4 linked regions of the Drosophila melanogaster genome follow. The protein of the gene in region 2 interacts with the protein of the main gene of each other region in a pairwise test. Each region holds a gene or a part of one and is shown on either strand. Other genes may lie near its edges.

Region 1 (5,632 bases), on a different chromosome or scaffold from region 2:
TGCCGACTGTCTTTGCCAGATTTCGAGTGTTTGGACTGCCTGTCGATGCTTGAGAAGCAGTTGTAACTGTGACTGCAGATGACTCAGATAGTAGTGATACTGCCGCTGGAACTGCCTTTGGTTTTGAAGTGTGTATCCGCCAGAACACATAAGCAAACGTAGTTGTCTGGGCCACGCTGCTCCCAACTGAAGCTGGAGAAGCGTCTGCGCGTATGTGCTGGACTGCTGCAGATGTCGCATTGGAGGCGCAGGTTGAAGGGAATGTATTTGACCCGAGGCATTGAGCAGTAGTGTATGGTAGTCGCCGCAAGTCGCCTCAAGCGCCGAGTTTTGTTCTATGGGTAGTGCTGCCGTGTTTTCCGTAATTGTGATCTCCATGGGCGAGCTGACATCTTCACCCAACTGAGAGTGGTTGTTCAGGCCCCAGTGGTAGAGCCTTCCGTCCAGAGTGCGGGCCACCGTGTGCTCTAATCCAGCTGCAATGCTGCACACGCCCATGCTGTCTAGTTTCTGCAAGCGCATCACATTGGCCCTCCGGATATGATCCCCACTGCCCAGGAGACCATTATTGGAGGCTCCGAATGTGAAAAGTTGGGTGTGGAGCAGAGCGTATCCTTGGTGAAGAAGGTGCCTTGTGTTAGCCGCAACGCTGCGCTCCGAGTGGCCACTGCTTATGGATTTTACAGAGGCCCGTTCATCCTCGGGTTCTTCCTTCGCACTGGCCACCGACAGCTGGAGTGCATCGTCGGCCAGGTTGTAGGGAGCTACTAACATCACAAAGTGCTCGTTTCCGGCTGCTAAGTCCAACAGTTCCTTGCCCTCTTCGTAAAGGCGCATGTGCCGAGGCTGTTGTTCTGCCTTGAAGACTTCGCCGCAGCTGCCCATGACATAGGTCTCCCCACTAGCGCCGACGAAGACAACGCCCTGGGCGGAGCAGCAAACCCGTCGGATGCGTACGCCCTCAGCATGCAATTCGAGAGGGTCGAAACCGAGGGTTTGCCACGCATGTGGATGACCCACATCCCGGCCAGATCCCGTGGCTTGGCGCTGCACAGAGCCATTGGTGAGGACTACGAATAGTTCCTGACTGCCGGAGCAGAAGTCCATATCCACAACATCGGTACGCAGGAGTTGAAGATCCATGTGTTCGCGGTTGGCCTGCAGCTTGGCGGAGTAGAGGGCGTGGTCAGTGGTCAGAAGGAGCAGTTCCCCGCCGGCATTGCTGCAAATCCGGGATGCGGGAAACCGCTGCAGGGGCGGCAATCCGCGCCAGTGAAGCTGTAGCTCCCTGCCTTCATGATAGATGGTGAAGGACTCCCGCTCCTCCTGACCCCCAAGTGCCGAGTCATCCGCTGCACTGGCCATGATGTGCAAATTTTTGTTGGGGTTTTGGACAGGGCCAAAGCTTTGTAACACGACGCAATTGCTCGATTTGTCTGCAGGTCGTTCTCACATCGTGCACGTGCTCCGGTCCACGCTAGGCACTACTGGCACCAACGAACATCATATAACTTGATTCGGAATGCAACTCTAGCTGCCACGATAAAATAAATTCTGTTTTCACTTGTTCTTAACTGGCTAATAAGAATTCATGTTTTTGTGATGGTTTTTTGGATTAGTGTGACCAGCGCTATCGAGTCCCAATGAGAATTTATTAAGTAAGGGTGTTCGGGTAAAAGTGACGTTCTAAAATTGGGCTTATCACTATTTATTTGGTCCATGCAAATTGTTGTTTTATAACCAATTTTGAAAACACACATAATACCTTATACGTAAACTCAATATTGTAGTTAGCTAGAACTCTTATATAAATTTAAATAACTCCTTAGTTGCATTCGCCATAATCATGGAACCAGTCAACACAAAAAAGTTATTTTGGTATTTTTTTGCGATACATCAATTTGTTTTAATATGGTCATATTGTTTTTGCCATCAGCTGTTCGACTCAAAAGTTTTTGCATGTTTTGTTTATTTCGCTTAAAATGTAGTTTTATCGTTAATTAGGAAAAGTTACCCACGGTAAAAAAAAACAACCGTCAACAATTGTTCAGAAACATCAACTAGTACGACTCAGTGGACACCTCCGTGTGGTACTGCTGGTTTGCATACGCCCACAAAAGTTGTTTTAAGCCACAAACTCACCCTCCTAAAATAAAATTTTTTCAGCTCGGTTATGGATTTGGACTGCGAGGGCGCTACAGCTTTGGCTGACGACTCAGGGCACTTTAGCTGCACTAGCGATGATGGAGTAGGAGATCCTGCTCAGAAACCGGCGCCGCAGCCTGAACCGGACCAATCGATTTTTCTGGTGCGGCAAGAGCTGCTTCGGACGCGCAGTGAGGTGCAAAGGCTCTTAAAATCGGAGCAGTGGTACAAGCAGGAGCTTAAGTCCCAGAAGCACAGCAGGCTACAGACGCTAGAACGATTGTACGCACAGGAACGGAAGTATTTGATGGAGAACCAGAAGCTGCAGCAAGAATCGATCCGCCTGCACACACAATGCGCCACTCTGGAGAAGCAGCAGGAGCAGGGCTCACCATTTTCCCCTGGCTCATCGCCGTTTAAAGCAGACTCGGAGTCACACGACTCCTCTTTTGAGGCCAAACAGCAGGAGGCGCGCCTACGGGATCAGCGTCAGTTGATCGACGTGCTCCGAAGGCAAAAGAAGATGCTTCTGGACGACATCCAGAGGATCAGTCTGGAACACGATGAAAAACTTTCGCAGTTGCAGCAAACTGTTGTCGGCATGGAGCTGGAGAGCAAGCACGTGACTGGAAAATGCAAGCAACTACTTGACCTTAAAAGTCAAATGGAGCACCAGCTAGAGCTAAGAAGCACTACCCTACGCAGTGTCACCGCGGAGCGTGATCAGCTGCGCCAAGTCATTGCTGAGCTTAACGAGACGCTGCAAACGCAGGAGCATCTGTTAGCGCTAAAGGAACAGGAGTTCCTGGATTTGAAACAGTACTACCAACAAAAGCTGAAACGGGAGAGTAGCATGGAAATTATGCACTCTTATAGCATGAAATTTCACGAAGAGATCAACAGAAAAACGAGTGAAATTGCCAGCCTTAAGAATTCTCTTAACGAGCTTCAGGCCGAGCTGATGCTGATGTCTCACATGAAAGAGCAATGCGAGGAACAGCAGCGTCAGCTTGAGCAACTGGAGTTCGCATTGCAGGCACAACTTTTGGAGGAGACTCAACTTCGGCAAAGCAATGCTCTAAAACTGGAGCAGGTGGAAAATTTAACAATTTCTTTGGCTTCGTTACAACTAGATAAGGAAGGCTTAAAAGAAAATTTAGGTGAGGCGCAAAAGACCTTGAAAAATCTACAGCAGAAGGTGGACATTCTTCAAAAACAGTATGCCGAAATGTGCTCCTTGTGTCAAAAGACTAAACAGCAATTGGAACTGGAGAAAATCGAGATTGCCAAAATGAAGCAAAACGGTTCCTTAAAGGAAAGTGAGCTAATGGAGAAACTCAAAGATTATGCAGCGCAGTGTGATGAGCTGAGAAAAGCGTTGGCCGAAGCAGAGTCCCGTATCGATGTCCAAATCAAAAAGACAGAGGGCTGGCAAGTGCAGTTGAAACACAACCAAGCGACCCAAACGGACCTCGAAGATCCGATTTTAGTTCAACGCATTGAGACTTTGGAACAACAACTAGCGGATGTCAGGAGCCAAAAATTGCACACAGTTTCGCTGCTCCAAATACTGCTTCAACAGCAAGAAGCTAAAATCAAGAGCACTAACGAAATGGAAGCAGACTGGCAACAACTGTTAGATGCTCTGCAAGCTACTCAAAGCTTGGAGCAGGAAATGCGATCAGAACTACAGCATAAGACGGTTGAATTGGAGCACCTGAATGAATTGTTCGCTGGACAAAATGATGAACTGCAAAAGCTCCAGAAATTGAGCCAAGCGCAGGACGAGGAAAATCGACTAGAGTTACAGCTTTTGAAGAAAACATTCCAAGAGAATCTGAAGATAAACTCCGCTGCGTCGATTAACATGCAAAGGCTGCAAGGCCAGGTAAAGTCTTTGCTAGATGAGAAGGAGGAAATTGCGCGAGAAGAACGCAAAGCAGTAGAGTGTTTGCGATCTCTTGGTCACGTTCTTGAGATGGAAACAGGAAGGAGGCTACCACATATAAAAAGCTGGCCTCAGTTGGCCAAAATTCTTCGAAAGGAACTGCGAAATGGGAGGGTTAACAATCGAAAGGCTGAAGAGCTTCCTGGGCTTAAAATGAAGCTGGCGGAGATCAGCGGAAGGCATCAGCAAGCTTTGTCAAAAATTAAGGTATGTTATGTCTTACTCCCTTAAAGTAACTCTTTGTAACACAATTAATTGCTTTTTACAGTGTCTGGAGCACACTTTGGTAATGGAGCGAGCGCGGTTTGAGGCCTCGGACTCGGGCAAATCGACGGCTAGCAACACGCCCCAGGAACCCGCCCATGAAGTGGCTAATCTTATTGATGACTACAAGAAGGTAAGTATGTTCCCCTCCGATTGGCTTCTCTTGACATTTCCTTAATTGATTTACAGCTCGTTCAGCAAACCGCCAATGAAACATGTCGCCCTCGCAACAGCTTCATATTCGATCTGATTGAGCGGAGTCAGCGATGCCAACCGAATTTGTGCCAATTAGGCGAGGGTATTTCCGCCTGCCAGTCTGATATGAAGGAGCTAAGCAGGATTATTATTGCTGGTCGGGAACGGAGGAGAGTGGAGCCCATGCCCTCCCTCATGGATGAACTTCGAGCGGTGGCCGAGCACTCTTAGACGAGCATAATTTAGTTTTCAGTCAAATACTTATAAATTTCCTATTTAGTACCTATTTGTTTAGTCTCAAATTTTGTTTTCCTAAAAGGGGCAATTAGTGAATTGAGTTTTTGTGCCTAGTCTCATAGGCCTAATTTTCAATCAGATCCAACTTAGTTCAATTTATATAAATATTTATTTTGTTGTCTTTTGTGTTCGTTATCTTTATTTATGTGTAACGCATTCTGTTAGTTTCACCAATTCTATATACATACTAATTGCCAAACTATACCAATATTTTTTCTACAAGATATATAAACCATTGTTGGTTGCCACAAAAATGTGTAATTATTTTTATAGTCCATAACATTTAAAGTTAAAAACCTTGTGTAGATAAAACATATTTGTGTGAAGTCGATCAGTGCACATCATTTACTTTCGTGGGCACCTAGGGATTTTAGTACCATCGTTCTCCGAAATAACTTCCTTTTTGTCATATATCGTATTTCCGTTTTCATCCACGTCCAGAACTTCCTGTATTACCCCTTTTCGAGTTCGTGTTATCCCACACATAGGCTTATCGTTTTTATCCATGCACAAAATCAGGAGCTCAGTGTGCTGTAGATCAGAGGGCTTTAGGACCTTTGTTACCTTACAAGATGCCGTAAACTTTATGGGGCACGTCACCCCGGCACATTGCCAACCATCTGGGGGGAAATAATTATTAACATAGATGTTCCAATACTACTCGTATCCATGTAATCCATACACTTAGTCTTCTTTACCGTCGCTCGATTTAAGTCCTCATTTAGGTGCCGATCTCCGTCTGCCTTAAAATAAATGTACGATCCATAATACTCCATATACGGA
Region 2 (4,960 bases):
CTGAAAAGTCAGACAGCGAATGCAACAACAAATGTAATTTTAAGTTGTCAGTTTCCTTACCTCCCAACGTCCCTCCAAACACACACCACACACACACAAACACAACATACGAAAAACACAAAACACATTTGCATAAAAGGTATATATATATATATATATATATAATTATAAATGAATATACTTAGTAAGCATTTTAGTTAAGAGTTTTACATTATAAATTAAACACGGAAACCACTTTCGAAACACTCACTCGCATTGGGGGTCAGTAGTTAGAAGCTCAGAGCAGTCCGCTTTGCTTGTATGTAATTTGAGAAAATGTGTAATGAGAAAATCGAGGAATTAATTGTGTGAATCAAACTCAACTCTTCAGAACCAAGTGTAAAATCCTATATTTTGAGCAGCTAAACCCAACACAGAGAGAGCCGCATCAACAACCGAAACCGAAAAGTAGAACACAGCTAAATTGTTTAGTGTTTAGAGTATATATATGAAAAACAGAAAACGAATCGATTTATATATATTTACAATTATATATATAATGCGAGCGGCGAAATTGTAATAAGCAAGAGATAGAGTGCAGCACACGCTTCGATTTTTAATTTTACAAATATTATTATTATTGTGGTTATATATGTATATAATTATATTATAAATAATTGAAGCAAAACGAAAAAATAAAAAATTATATGTAATCGAAAGTAAATCCCACGGCGTGCATCTAAAACACATCTGTGGTGTAGACGCTGCGCTGGCGCGGCACTGGAGCACCTTGCTGGCGGGACATTTTCGTGTGCAACTCGCGCAATCCCTCGCACTGGCGTCCAGAAATCTGTCGAAACTTGTCGATGGCGATGGGCAGCAGGTTGTCCACCAGAAAAATCTTGTTCTTCATTACAAAGTTGGGCTGAAAATGGCATTCTTGAAGAGAGCGGTTTTATTTAAGCTGCTTTCTAACTTACATCCACGGCCATGTCGCTGGGCGGTTTCAACGAATGCTGGGCAATGAACAGCTCCTTAAGAAGCAGTTCCAGGCTCTGCAGCAGGGTTTCGCACTTGGCCAGACAGCCGCAGTACTCGGTGAGCTGCAGGAAGTGTCTGATGAAAACCACTGTCGACTGGGTGAGATTAATCCATGTGTCGCCCGTCGCCTGGGCTCGCACATCGATACCCAAGACATCGAGCTCCAGGAGCAGACGCTTCAGGTTCGACTTGGTCTGCAAATTGTACGGCTGCCAGCTCTCCTCGGTGCGACCCACGGAGTCCAGCAGTCGCTCCTTGGATTCCTCTATGAGCGACTCGAGTGTAGTGCGCAACAGACCTTCCAAATGATAACTAATGTCCAGCCCGATCTCTGTGAGCTTTGTCGAGGGCTTGCGCACTCGCTCCACACATTTGGCCACTGACTCCAGGGAGGTTCCCTTGGTCAGGTAATGCTTTATCAGTTGGCTGGCAAAATATTGCAGCTCCGCATTGCACCAAACCACGAGCGCTGCAAGAATTAGATAGTAGTAATACTTAAATGTAGACAGAAATAGGAATGAAGCTTACCGCTAACGCACGCCGGTTGCTTCTCAAAGGCGGTGAGAAAATCACAGGCCACCTGCGTCAGGTCACAAAAGAAGAGTTCCGATATATCCGCATTATTCCTGCGCGCCTCCCGTTGCGCCACCCGCAAACTGACGGCGCAGACCTTCAGCAGAGTGGCACTCGCCTGCCGATAGCGACCCATCTCTACGAGAATCTTCAGAGGCCGCTTGGCTGCTCTCAGAGCGATCTGCAGATTGCGATTGTGACTGTTGGACAACTCCTTGAGCAGCACATTGATCAGCTTCAGCTCCTGCTGCTTCACCTTGGTTTCAATGGCGTCCGCTAGTGGCAACTTCTTTCGGTTCTCGTTTCGCAAGAAGTCCTGGGTTCGCTTTATCAGCTCCTGGGCATCCTCGAAATGCCGTTGGGCCACCAGGGTCTGAATCTCTTCACTGGCCGTGCTTAGCCACTCGGGCGTCTCATCCTCCAGGGATTTGGGCTGTCCGGGACTCTGGGGTGTGGTTTCCTTCTCCGGAGTCGAAGCTTTTGACTGCTGTTTGGCCCGAGTTGGAGGCTGTGGCGCCTGGCCCTTTTTTGGTTTCTTTTGCTGGTCAAAGCGGAAGGCCTCTTCGAGCTTCTCTATCCACTCCGTCTTCCCAGCAGCCGTGATGCTTTGATAGATCTTGGAACCATCTGGAGTAATGATATTAATGGCATTCTTAACGCCATCCAAGTCCTTAATGTTAATCACGGCTATTTTCTTGGGGTCGTACTCGGTGAGGAAATCCAAGCGCCTGAAAAATATTACTATTAGTTTTTGCTATATGCTTTAGTATAGGAAAACCTACTTATCATGCTTCACTTTGCAGACAATCAGTACATCGTTGAAGAGGAAAAAGAAGACCCTTTGAATGGGTCGATAATCATTACTGTCCAACTCGATTAGAGCTCCCTCGTTGAGGAAGGTCTTGCCTTCCAGATTGCCATTGAAGCCCTGGACCATTTCCTTGACCGCCCGCGTGGCATGGCTATTCTCCAGATCCTCCGTCGCCGTAGTGCTCTCCGCCTCCAAACTCTCTGCCTTCAGGTGACTGGAAGTCTTGCCATCCGTCATGGTGGCCAGAATATTGCGCTGCTCAATCAGAATGTGCGACAGTTGATACATTTCCGACTCGAGATCTGCGATGCGAAAATATTAACATAAATGTATATTGATATTGGGGGGCGTAAACTACGTGATATCTCCTTGGCCGTCTGTATAAACTCCATATAGTTCTTTTTGCATGTTTGCTTGAGCGTTGCTGCCGTCGTTTCGTTGTAGGCCTCGATTTCCTTTTTTCGCTGCTGCAAATCGCTGCCACCCACACATTCTCGTGTCAGGTCCTTGGTATCTGGGAACGTTGTACTTATTAGTAGACTGATTAATGCTAAATAGACATAGGAATACTTACATTTCTCAACGCTAAAATTAAAATCGTCGAACTCCTTCATGATTCTGATTGGAATGTAAACTGCAGCTGACGCAGAGCCATTCACAACGAACGAGCGTCATCATGAGGTGTCGATTGTAAGGTTGCTGATGCTATAGAAAATGCCATGTTTTCACTGCAGTTTTCCCTGGTATTAGATAAATCTATAAATCTAGAACATTTTTATTTAGTTTTAAGTAATAGGAGATTAATTAAGATTTAAAACCTATGAAAAGTTTTATTCGAACTGAACGGCTACGTCAAAGACCTTTTAGAGATCAACAAATTTATTCGCATTTACATTTCGGATTTTCATCTTAGGTATGATTAGGCGTTGAAGCCCTGAATACTTTTTATTCGAACTGAACTTTTAAATATAAACGACTACGTCAAAGATCTACGTTAAAAATCAAGAAGACATATGTCTATATGTATACTATTCATTACAATGTGTGTGTGTTGTATTGTAATAAATTAAAATTATTTTCCACCTGTTGCTAATTCACTAAGTTGAAGTGTGAACAGTTCTTTCAGAGTGCACCGGCAAAGCTTCTTCTTCCCACTAGCACTATTCGCATGTAAGCGCCAACACGTCTTGGCCACCTTAGAATCGCGCACACCCTTCGCTTATTGTTTTGGTTGATGAGTAATCTTTAGGAAACTCCGTCATTCTTCGTAATTAAATCTTGCAGTTAAGATATCCTTAAACATGGACTGGCTATTCGGCAAGAAGATCAGCCCCGATGAGATGCTGCGTAAGAATCAGCGGGCGCTCAACAAAGCGATGCGAGATCTGGACCGCGAGCGGATGAAAATGGAGCAGCAGGAGAAGAAGATTATCGCGGATATCAAGAAGATGGCCAAGGAGGGTCAAATGGATGCCGTGAAGATCATGGCCAAGGATCTGGTGCGCACGCGGCGGTATGCCAAGAAGTTCATGCTGATGAAGGCAAACATCCAGGCGGTGTCCCTCAAAATTCAGACGCTCAAGTCGCAGAACACAATGGCACAGGCCATGAAAGGTAAACATTGGCTATTTGGCTGATTCACCCGCTTATCAAGCAATTATGCTTATCTTCCAGGTGTCACGAAGGCCATGCAGAACATGAACCGCCAGCTGAATCTCCCGCAAATCCAGAAGATCCTGCAGGACTTCGAGAAACAGTCGGAAATGATGGACATGAAGGAGGAGATGATCAACGATGCCATCGATGACGCCATGGAGGACGAGGGCGACGAGGAGGAGACGGATGCTGTTGTGTCCCAGGTGCTGGACGAACTGGGTCTGCAATTGGGCGAACAGCTGGGAGACCTTCCTTCCGCCTCCGGTTCCCTTTCCATAGCCGGCGGCGCTGGCGCTCAGAAAGCACAGGCTGTGGCCGCTGGTGGCGTTGGCGGCGGTGGAGCCGCCGGCGGAGGTGGAGCTAGTGGTGGCGGCGCTGGTGGTCCGGGAGCTCCCGGTGGCAGTGGTGCCTCATCGCCCATGTCCGATGCCGATGCGGATCTTCAGGCGCGCCTGGATAAGCTGCGCAAGGATTGAGCCGCTACTAAGAACCACTGCCTGTCCACTTTATGTAAGAGCCACCACCCGTTTGTATCTCCCAGAAGCGAATGTTATATTAAAGAGAATGCTTGTGATTTTCGTTCCCTGCGTGTTTGAAAAATCGATGAGTAATTAGCATTTACAAGCTATAATGGAAAGAACTGGGTAGTGCTGCAATCGCACAGCCTAGCTACAAACAAATTCGCAATACTTGTTACTTTAGAGCTATACAATATTCGGTATTTTAAAAGATATGTACGTTTCATGCCTGTCTTCAATAAAATAAGAAAAAGGAATTTCCAAATCATGAAATTATATATATATGTATATACATATATTCAGCTTTAACTATAAATGCAAAATTGTGTTTATCTGAATAAAAAGAAGTACTTTCCTAAATTTGTACTATTGGGTACTATAG
Region 3 (5,859 bases), about 20 Mb from region 2:
ATGCTGTCCGGCTGCAAAGCCAAACGGTCCCGATAGTCCCGCTGGTACAATCGGTTCTGCGAAAACAAAAATATATTTTTGAAATTTTAAAATGGGATATCGACATAACAAGGTCCGAAACTAATTAAAAATGGTAGCCCAGGTAACGGGCTTACCGCGTATTAACCTACAAAATGTTATAGCGATTGGCCTTTTAAATGTGTAGCTCTAGTAATGGTTTTTGAAATGAACTTTTTTAATGGGGGTGAATTGATCTTATAATAATAATAACAATACAATTCTCTGCGACTACAAATCAAAACTTCGCAGTCAATCTACTTCCATTCTAAATGACCTATGGAATCACCTCCAGTGCCTTGATGATGGACGCGTTGTAGTCAACTGTCTTCCGCATCACACTTTTTCGCAGTCGCTTGCCGTCGAAGTCGTCCTGGGACATTCCGAAGGGTCGCTGGAAGCCGCCGGGCATGAAGGGTTTGAACTGGTTGTAGCCGTGCTTGTTGGACCCATGGTGCGGATGGTAGTGACGGTAGTGCTGGCCGCCCATGTTCGGCGGGGGCAGCGATGTGAAGTTGGTGGCCAGGGCCGAGGGCGCCGTGAGCAGCTGCGGTGGCGGCTGGGATACGTCCATGTTGCGGCTGTTTTTTCCAATGCCTCTTTTTCCGCTTGGCTGCAAAAAATGTCTTCGCCCGCACACAAACACACACACAGATGAAGGCGTAGTGGGCGTATTAGTTGGACGCTATTACCCACGCAAAGCTCTACTTACTCGTGTTTTCTAGAGTGTTGGCATTGGCGCGGTGGTGGGTGTACTAATGCTTAGACTAAATAGGTAAAAACGACCTGCAAATCGCCGCGTTGCAAATAACTAGTAACTTTCCGAACAACGCGAATTTGAGGAATTCACGACGAAACGCGGACACCAGCGTGTGCTTCGATTGCAATGTTATCGATATATAACAGCAGTCAGGAGTTGAATCAATTTTATTTATCTTTATGGCCTTACAATTTAATTGTCAGTTTTATGCATGCTTATCTTATTTCTTTGAAAGATTTGTAAGAGTTGTCACCACTGTTTTTCTCAGGTTCTTATTTATTTTTTCTTAATAATATTTAAAAACTAAACATTCAGCAAAAATTGGTTCTTCTGATCTCGATATGTTTGTGGTAGCGATAGTAGCGTAGCGATAGTAGCGTAGCGATAGTGTGCTGCCAGACAGGCCTATCCAACTAATTTTAAATTATTGAATAAATAAATCATATTTTTTATTTTTAGTTTTAGTTTACTTACGGTAAATGTACTTTGCCTCCGCTAGTTACACAGTCACCAGTTTTAGGTTTTCTTTATCAGCATTCAGCAAAGAATACATTATTCTTACAATATTTTCTGGAAATAATTTTCAATCAATAAAAATAGCCGTTAAGAAAAGTGAATGACAGTAATGCGACTAAGAGATTCGAATGCTACGAATATTAATGCGGGTATTTGACTGAAAAACCACTGACTAACTTATGTTTACATTTTAAGATGCAAGTCCGAAAATATAATGAAATATTCGAAAAATATATTGTGTTCACGATCTTAGGCAGATATAATATCGCGATATAAATACTAATATATCGCTTGGATACCTCGATACATTGATATATTATCAACACCCCCTACTGGCAACTCTGCTCCGTTTTAATGGCGACCGGACCGACTTGCTGCCTACTACGTGTTTGACATAGAAGACACTTTTGTAGCCGATTCTAGAGCGTTCCCAAAGCCACTCGAACTGCGCAGAGAGTGGATATTGTTGTCAAAACACTATTTGTGAATACGCACGCTGCTGCCATACGCCAGTCGATTCTGATCTCCATTTCCCACACCCGGACCTCTAGAGAAAAGTGTGTGTCTGTGTCGCAAAGTGCCTGAATTTTCGTTTTGCCCGTCGTTGGCTCGCGAAGTCAAATTACCCATAATGGCCAGACTCACAAAGGTCTACAACACGGACGACGACGACTCCGGTTACGTTGGTCGCAGAAATTTGCCCCTGGTGGCTGGCGATAAATTAATGGTAAGCATATATCCGCACCGATTTCCGCTATATGTACGGCCGTCTATCCAAAGAAAATGACTGCCAGCAGAGAACACACGTACACAGACGCACACACAACAGAGACGTCCGCTGTGAGTGTGTGCGTGCACTTGGTCCAAAAACTTTCATAACACGGCGGATTGTTATGTGTAAGTGGCGGATGGTGACGAAGTGTGAGTTCGCTTCTCTTTGCTTTGAATTGGTGTGTATCGTGCATTTATTAATTGAACTTGAGCTGCAATTATGATTCTGCACCTGTCACCACCCACCGAACTCTTCTTTCTCCGCCTCCCTGGCCACGGCCGCCATGTTGCTGGAAAGTGCAACAACACGAACCTGTTTGTATGCACATCGCATGCACTCCGTCACCATCTCTAGAGGTGATGATCTCTCAGGCTCAGATTCTCTGGCCAAAATCTCTAGTTAATGACATCGGTTGCACACCCGACCCCTATTGTTATCGATACGTTTGAAGGTGGATTTATGCCAGTGTCCAGAGCTCCGTTAGTTTTTTCAAAGAACAGCTGTTGTTTTGTATGTATTGTATGTTTTCTCGGATTATTATATTTAATGCAAACAATTAGACGTTATATTAATACTGTCGGTCATTTCACCGCAAATATCATTGGATCGCGATCCTAATTATTTATTTACTTACAGCGTTGGATAAAAGTTCTTTATAATACTAATGTAAACATATCAGTTGTTCTTTGCTAACTAGTGCATTCGATCAAATAGATCAGATACTCACAATACCATTTATGTACCATAACCTCCCCTGATTAAATTCTCTACTTTCTCTGCAGATGCTCATGGACCTGAACAGCAAAGGTCTAGTGATCGACAGTCCGCTGATCCGCGGACGTGAACTGGAGGAGTTTTCACGGAAATTCAAACTGCTCACAGAGGCCGAGCGCCGGCAATCGCTGGAGATCGACAGTGCCAGTTTTATGGAAGTCCTCAATCAATGTGTCCAGTGCGTTGGCTGCCGCAGACGCGTAGAGCGGTTGTTTCACCAACTAACCGAGACGGGGCACCGAACACTTGATCCGCTGGAACTGCGACCCACTGCCACCCTGGGCATTGTGGAGGAGAAGCTTAAGACTCCGCAGGCACTGGGAACGCTGCTCTACCGGCACCATGAGGTTCTCAACAACCTGCTGGACAACAAACTGCGAAACAAGACGCGCTGCGTTCTTCATTCGCTGGACGCCTTTCGTGCCAAACCCTTTTCGGAGACATGGCGAGAGGTGTGGTCCGCCATGAAGAGTAACTGCCGCAACGAGTTAACCATCATCGAGACAAAGGAATTGCACGACGTACTGGAGAACTACCTGAAGAAGCACAAGTTTTGCTCTGGCTGCCGTACAAAGGTTAGATATAGGATATTAAAATTAATGACCTGAATTGATTCCATTAGTTTGCTAATGTGAGTTAATTAAAACAAATACTTGGACGCTTTTAGTTTTCAAAGTTATAATGCAGTTCTTCATACAGTTTCGGAGCTGACTATCAAAATATCCTAAAAAATTGATTACATTACAATATTATTAAACAAACTTCTTCTCACTTTTCTTGCAGATTGAGCGCGCCTACAAAATACTCATTGGTGAAATATCGTCCAAGGAGAAGGGCTATGCGGCCCAGTTGTACGCTCATATTCGGAAGTGCGTGCCCGACCAGCACATCCACGTGACCACAAACAAGATAGAGTTCCTGGACGCGCTGATCAAGCGGGCCGAGCCCGAGGTGAACGGTAGCTACTCTAAACTGCGCGAGCGCCACGCTAAGACGCTGGAGATTGCCCAGGAAGAGGTGCTGACCTGCGTGGGCATGATTATGTACGAACGGCTGCGTCGCATCTACGTCAGTCTGCGGGAGGAGGAGCGCGCATGCCAGGTGCTGGCCGCTGTGGGTGTCCACGCCCTTTGCCGCAGCTTTGACACGTTCGTGGAGCAGAAGCAGGGAATCAGCAATCTGGAGCTACTCTACCAAGAGATCAGCCGTGCTGAGAGGGCCAAGCAGATCAAGCGCGAGCAGAAGAAGCTCAAGAAGAAGAAGAAGAAGGACGAGAAAAAGAACTTGCTGCACCGGCAATGCGACGATACCGAGGCCAACGAGTCTGACGAGGAGGAGGAAGAGTTGCGGAATGAGGAACTAGACCTGGAGGAGGAGAGTCAGATGCAGCATGAGGAGCTAAGCGATCCAGGTGCGGACGATGGCATTGTTATAGAGGCAGCCCGGAGCCCGGAGCCCGAACCCGAGCTAACGTCCAAGCCAACGAAATCGAAACCGAAGAAGCAATCGAAGAAAAAGAAGCAGAAGAAAGCGGCCTTCACAAAGATGGGCAACCAAAAGCAGATGCAAGCCACGGCTAGGGTCCAGCCGCTGGATGCTGATCACGATCAACTTGACGTGGCCAGTTGCATTTCGTCAAGCATCGCCAAAACGGTTGGCGATAAGTGCGAGGAGTGCCTGGCGTCCATGCCTAACTGCCCGTGCGAGCAGGATGTGCGCGATTCTGGATACGGCAGCGATCCACCTTCGCATGCCGGCTCTCGGACATCTAGCGCGATTTCGTCACCAGAAGGCTCGGAAGTGTCTTGCTCGGATGGACTGTGTAATCACGACGTCCACGATGAGGACTCAGACGACTTGCTCTTCTACAGTCACCAGTCGCAGTTGGATCACAAGTTTTCATTGTTGCAGATGTGGGTGAGTCGCAAGATTGTCTCTATAAAAATAGGAAGTGGAAAAATAGAAAAAGAAAATTGTAATTATTGTTTTTTAAACATAATCTAAGACTTGCGGCAAGCCCTGTCGACTCTTATCATCAAGAGCTTAGGGTCGGAATTAATTACCAGAAAATATTCTAGACAGAGTGGGCTATGCAAATGATTTGCCATATCGAAATTAAAGTAATAAAACTTTATTAATTGCAGGACGACTTCGACGAATACGACGACAAAGACGAGGAGACATATTACATTCCCCAGGAGGTGGTTATGGCCTTCAAGTGCCACCGGGAGCAAGTGCAGCGAAAGCGAGAGGAGCTCCGCGCAAAACTGCGCGCCAACTTCGAGCGACTGTGCGTGCAGCACGGCGTTCAGACGCAGGTGCAGAAATCGAAGCGGACGACTTCTGCACTGGTTGGCCAATGAAACGCATTAAACCGTTGTAGTTATTCAGTCGGGCGCAGCGATTTTAAAAAATCCGCCCGCATGCATTCAAAGTACATATAATTTTTGTTTTTGAAATAAATGAAGTATACAAGTTACAACTATCGGCGTTAAATTACTTAAAAATCCTTAGCAATTTCGGCAGTCCTCGTGGAAGGGTTCTAGAGTGCGCAGGTCCCGCCACGTCGGAGGCAATCCGTTCACCACGAATTTCCCACAACGCTTGCAGGGCTCCAGGAAAAGTTTGACGTGGCTGTTCAGCCAGGTTATATAGCTTTTCACTGCCAGATCGGGCAACGTCGGCGAAAAGAAATGCAGCATTGCTGAGTGAGCATGATCCTGGACTTTGCGGAACACCTCGTAACGTGACTCGGCCCACAGGTCGTCATGCTCCAGCGGCTCATCGAATCCCTTAACCGTAACCCACTCTATAAGCACTCCTTTGAAGACAATAGCCGCCTTCATCACGTTACTTATTGTTACGATGGTGACAGCGTTTGTGCCGAAGGGACGAAAAATTCTGTACGAAGTATGCGGAGGGGTGTTGATCTCACTCAGGAGCTTATCTATGTGGCTAAGAATCAGAGGAAGAAAGATGT
Region 4 (4,175 bases), about 12 Mb from region 2:
GTCACAGGCGAAACTAAAACAAATGAAATCAGAGAGAAACCGGAAAAGAAGGAAGTTTCGGCGAAATCTGAAAAGAAGGAGATCGTGGGGAAAGCTGTGGATAAGGATAACTCAGAGGAGGTGGTCCGGGAAAATAAGAAAAAACCTGTAGGCGAACAAGAGAAAGCTTGATTTTCCAGCCCTTGATGCATGCGTACAATTACCGCACAAAAACCATATTCTAGGAATTGATCGTTGATGATTTTTACAACATTTGTATTTTTAAGATCGTTGGTTTTGGTACAAACACCAAGTGACCTTAAAAGAGAAACTTACCGTCTGTTGCTTGAATATTCAGACATCTTGCGCATTGACAAATTACCCAAAAACAAACAAACCAACATATTACATATCAAAGATATTTTGATATTATTATATAGATTTTATATATTTTTGAATTGAATGATGTTACCAAGCAATATATGCATGGCTATTTTTATAGTACTCTTATTAATTATAAAATATACAAATTCAATATTTTCGATAAAACTCTCTTGAATTTTTAACAATGCTTATTAATCCTCAATGCTTACTGTTCCATCATCAACTTCAGAATACGTGCGTTGTTTTGCAAGATCTTGTGGCGACTCTCGTCGATTAGCTCCCGGTACTCCGCAATGCTGGCTTGGATTTGCTGCAACTGATGCTGCAGGGGCTCCGTGGCAGATGCCGTGAGAGTCTGCTCCCTTTTTAGTTCCGTGGATGCCTGCGTGTAGGTGTCGCGCCACATCGTAAGCTCCAGCTGCATTGCATCAAAATCCTCGGGTATGCAGTCCAGTAGTTTACCCAGCGGACCTATCGACTTGGTGAGCTTTTGGACTACGTCGCGTACGTCGTTCACCTGGCGCGCAGAAGTTTGTCGGCCTGCCTGTGCTGGAGGCGGTTCCACTTCGGCGCCTTGATTGACCAGTTCCTTTTGCGTTTCCAAGATCTGCTGCACCAATCGTCCCTGGGCATCGAGCTGTCCTTCCAATGCCGGTTCGTCACCGCCACCTTCGACAATATCATGGGCGGCGGAATCTTCTATGATCACCAGGTTCTCTCCGTCGTCGTCCAAGTCGCCAAAGGTTTCAAGCTTTACATTTATGCCCGACATTTTGATCTGATCGTTTGGCTGGAGCACGATCTCCACATTGCGACGTCGTGGAGCTCCGGGACGTGCGGAGGCGGGTCGAGCGGATGGAGGTCTAAGTGAGGTTCTGGGCCGTTGATTCACTTCCTTAGAGTTCTCTCTGGTGAGGGGAACCTCCCGCTTCGCTTCGCCGCTGTTGGTCTCCGGTGGAGAGCTGGTTTCTGACGACTGCACCGCTGGCTGGGATTGGCTCTCATTGGGAATGGGATTAGGTTCCGGTTGCCTGTGGCTGCCACTAGAACGGCGACTTCTGCTAGAGGATTTGCGACTCTCAGGCTCAGCTGGTGGAGCAGTTGGAGTTTCCTGGACAGGTCTCACCACTGCCTCCTTCTCTTTTAATGGAGGAACCTGTTTGGGTATACGCATAACTTATGGATTTCTAATTTTAAAGCAAATTAACTTATTTTTCTTACCATTTCCGGCTCTGGTTTGCTTGGAGCACTTTCGCTTGCAGCAGGCTTGGTTGATCCTTCTTCCACTGGCGACATAGACTGGCTAAGATTATCGCTCTCTGTTGAAGGCTGCAGTTTGGCTTTGGACTTCTGCTTAACTGGTGACGGACTCTTTTGCTTCGAGTTTTGTCGACTTAACTTCGTCTCATCCTTGGGTGCCTTGGACTTCTTCTGGGATGCTTTATCCTTCTCGGTGGGGGGAGTAGAACGGGACACCTGTTCTTTGACCTTGCGCAGCTTCTGCTCTTGAGGCGATATACGTTTCTCCTTGCGTCGCTTTGCATCCTCATCCTTGCCGGCGGGTGAGGGATTTTTGCTTGAATTTTTAGTTTCCTTCGGTGGCTTGGTAAGCGTCAGTGGTGTTTTGCTGTGGGAAATCACCACCTGATCCACAATGCTGTCCCACTCCAAGTTCTTTTCCGCAACACTGGCCATCGCCTGGAGGAGCTCATTGGTGAGCTCCGGTTCCTGGCCAGCAACTATTTTTGAAGTGCGTACTTTGAGATCCAGTTTGGTTGTTAGTTCTGCGAAAGCAAACACCTTGTAGCTAATTCAGAGCACCAGCATTGTAAGCCAAACTCACTGGTTGCATCGATCATCTTCTGCAGAAATCGAATCTTATCCTCCCGACTGGTTATGTTCTCGAACATCTGCTCTTCCGGCGTGTATAATCCATCAAATGTGCCACTTTGCTTGATAAACTGTCCACAAATGAGGCTCAACTTTCAATCTTTTTATAGGGGTGAGGGATTTCCAACCACTTACGTTACTAAAGACATCCATTAGAAATCGGAATGGCGGCTTCTTCAGCAGCTTCTCCGTGAGCGGTGGCTTTTTGATGTACTTGCCCAAAACCTTTTGGGTCTCCAAAATAATCGCATCCAGATCTTTTTCCGACATCTTCGTCACACGTTCTCAATTGAAATGTGGCTAACTATCCTTTCGGTTTTCTTTGTTTGGCCCGGCTACGTTGTCCTGGCAACCAAACAGGTGAACTTCCCTACAGTGACCAACCATCGCTTCCATGGGCAGTTCGAAGCTAGTGGCAGGTTCATTCATAACTAAAACCCACAGCATTTGTTCCAACACAATTCTCACTTTATTTTAAAAAACATTCTCACGTACAACATGACTTGGCTCGATATGAGTGCAGTTCGATATTGAGGTTTCTGGGATATACATAATATATATTGGTGTATATATTGTTTTGTGGTGGATGCTTGTTTAACAATTGAGGTTACGGTTTTATATAGAACGTTTCGGGTTTAATACTTTGGAAAGCTAAAAAATAAATTAAAATTACACGTCAACAGTTGGCCAATTTCGTGTTTTAGCGGTCAGAGCAGTCCAGTTGGATTGTTGTGTTTTCTGGCGACTATATACAATTAACATTAATAATTCTCATAACTAAATTATACACAGTGTGATTAAAGCTAGAGTCATACAAAAAGTAAACATAATGGGGGGCAGGAGGGCGGACAGGAGGACAGAAGGCTTCCGTATCTGTTCGATGCGGTTCAGATCGGATCTTGCAAGCAAATTGGCGGCAATTATACAGGGCTGACACAAGATCAAAATGGGTTTACAGAACTGCCTTGTCATCGTACTACAGGTTTACATAGCGCAGCGCTTAGTTTAGGTATATAGTTTAGTTTAGGTTTTAGCTCAGTTACATTAATGTTTTATCGTATAGGTAAGGTATCGCGCATATTTGTCGATAGATATCATTATTTATATTACATTTAGAGTGCGGCATTTCCGTGTGATGTAACATGCTGACCAAAGTCATCTCCCCAATGCGCGGCAATTAAAAACGAATTGTAAAATTAACTCTCTGCGTAATTAGGCTAGATTGCGTCCCGCAGACGGACGCTACAACTCAAAGAAGTCGTCCTGCTGCTTCTCCAGCCGCTTCAGCGAATTCTGGACTCGTCGCGTCTGCGTCGTGTTCAGCAGGTGCGCCGTATCCGAGGAGTTCCCGCTGCCCGTCGAGCTGTGGCGCTGATACTGCGACGGACGGTCGTTGTTGTTGGTCTTGTAGGAGTTGTTCAGCGGATGGCGGCGCTGCGGGAAAACGTCGGCGGTGGCACTGATGCAGATGTCCGCATCACTCTGACTGCTGACCAGGCTGGAAGGAATAAGCAAATGATTAGTTGATGTAGATAGAATTCTACAAGCTAGCGACTCGTTCATCACTTCATCACCTATCACTTCCAGTTTCTATTGGTTCTGTCAGCTTATCAAATTATGATTAATTGATTTAAATACCAATATTGACAGCTGAATGATCTTAAATGTTGATTGATTGGGTCTCTTTTGAGTGGTGGAAATACTTACTCCTTAGAGCGCTCCACATATTTGCGCGACTCAGAAATGGTGTTGTCTATCTTGTTAAGGAAGTCGTTCATGCATTTCCTGTTCTCCTCCTCGGGCGTCATTGCGGCCACCGAGTCCAGGCTCTTGCTCTGCTTGCCGCTGCAACCACCGTGGCCGTGCATCATCGATGGATCCTCGTCGCCGGCCTGCACCACCAGCAGCTCCCCGGCAATGGA

The links.
Region 1: the proteins of Exo84 (region 2) and CG11248 interact in a two-hybrid assay, tested with the Drosophila melanogaster proteins (one large-scale study listed by BioGRID).
Region 3: the proteins of Exo84 (region 2) and CG2182 interact in a two-hybrid assay, tested with the Drosophila melanogaster proteins (one large-scale study listed by BioGRID).
Region 4: the proteins of Exo84 (region 2) and IFT54 interact in a two-hybrid assay, tested with the Drosophila melanogaster proteins (one large-scale study listed by BioGRID).

Annotation. Positions count from the first base shown.
Region 1 is NT_037436.4:21,678,134-21,683,765, forward strand, and holds CG11248 (uncharacterized protein), read left to right. Parts: upstream 1-1,916; 5' UTR 1,917-2,019; exon of another isoform or gene 2,020-2,099; intron 2,100-2,166; 5' UTR 2,167-2,173; coding exon 2,174-4,300; intron 4,301-4,361; coding exon 4,362-4,490; intron 4,491-4,546; coding exon 4,547-4,783; 3' UTR 4,784-5,098; downstream 5,099-5,632. Other genes in the region: Als2 (amyotrophic lateral sclerosis 2), read right to left, coding at 1-1,365; Sfp78E (seminal fluid protein 78E), read right to left, coding at 5,195-5,469, 5,532-5,632.
Region 2 is NT_033777.3:26,049,212-26,054,171, forward strand, and holds Exo84 (exocyst 84), read right to left. Parts: upstream 3,047-4,960; 5' UTR 3,019-3,046; coding exon 2,979-3,018; intron 2,919-2,978; coding exon 2,760-2,918; intron 2,707-2,759; coding exon 2,376-2,706; intron 2,322-2,375; coding exon 1,549-2,321; intron 1,490-1,548; coding exon 960-1,489; intron 905-959; coding exon 719-904; 3' UTR 520-718; downstream 1-519. Other genes in the region: Vps2 (vacuolar protein sorting 2), read left to right, coding at 3,706-4,018, 4,079-4,536.
Region 3 is NT_033777.3:5,655,736-5,661,594, reverse strand, and holds CG2182 (uncharacterized protein), read left to right. Parts: upstream 1-1,682; 5' UTR 1,683-1,964; coding exon 1,965-2,060; exon of another isoform or gene 2,061-2,118; intron 2,119-2,887; coding exon 2,888-3,454; intron 3,455-3,662; coding exon 3,663-4,796; intron 4,797-5,023; coding exon 5,024-5,242; 3' UTR 5,243-5,359; downstream 5,360-5,859. Other genes in the region: Wdr33 (WD repeat domain 33), read right to left, coding at 1-56, 347-631; MED27 (mediator complex subunit 27), read right to left, coding at 5,390-5,834.
Region 4 is NT_033777.3:14,300,804-14,304,978, reverse strand, and holds IFT54 (intraflagellar transport 54), read right to left. Parts: upstream 2,552-4,175; 5' UTR 2,524-2,551; coding exon 2,389-2,523; intron 2,325-2,388; coding exon 2,207-2,324; intron 2,148-2,206; coding exon 1,585-2,147; intron 1,520-1,584; coding exon 569-1,519; 3' UTR 521-568; downstream 1-520. Other genes in the region: su(Hw) (suppressor of hairy wing), read left to right, coding at 1-171; red malpighian tubules, read right to left, coding at 3,496-3,751, 3,961-4,175.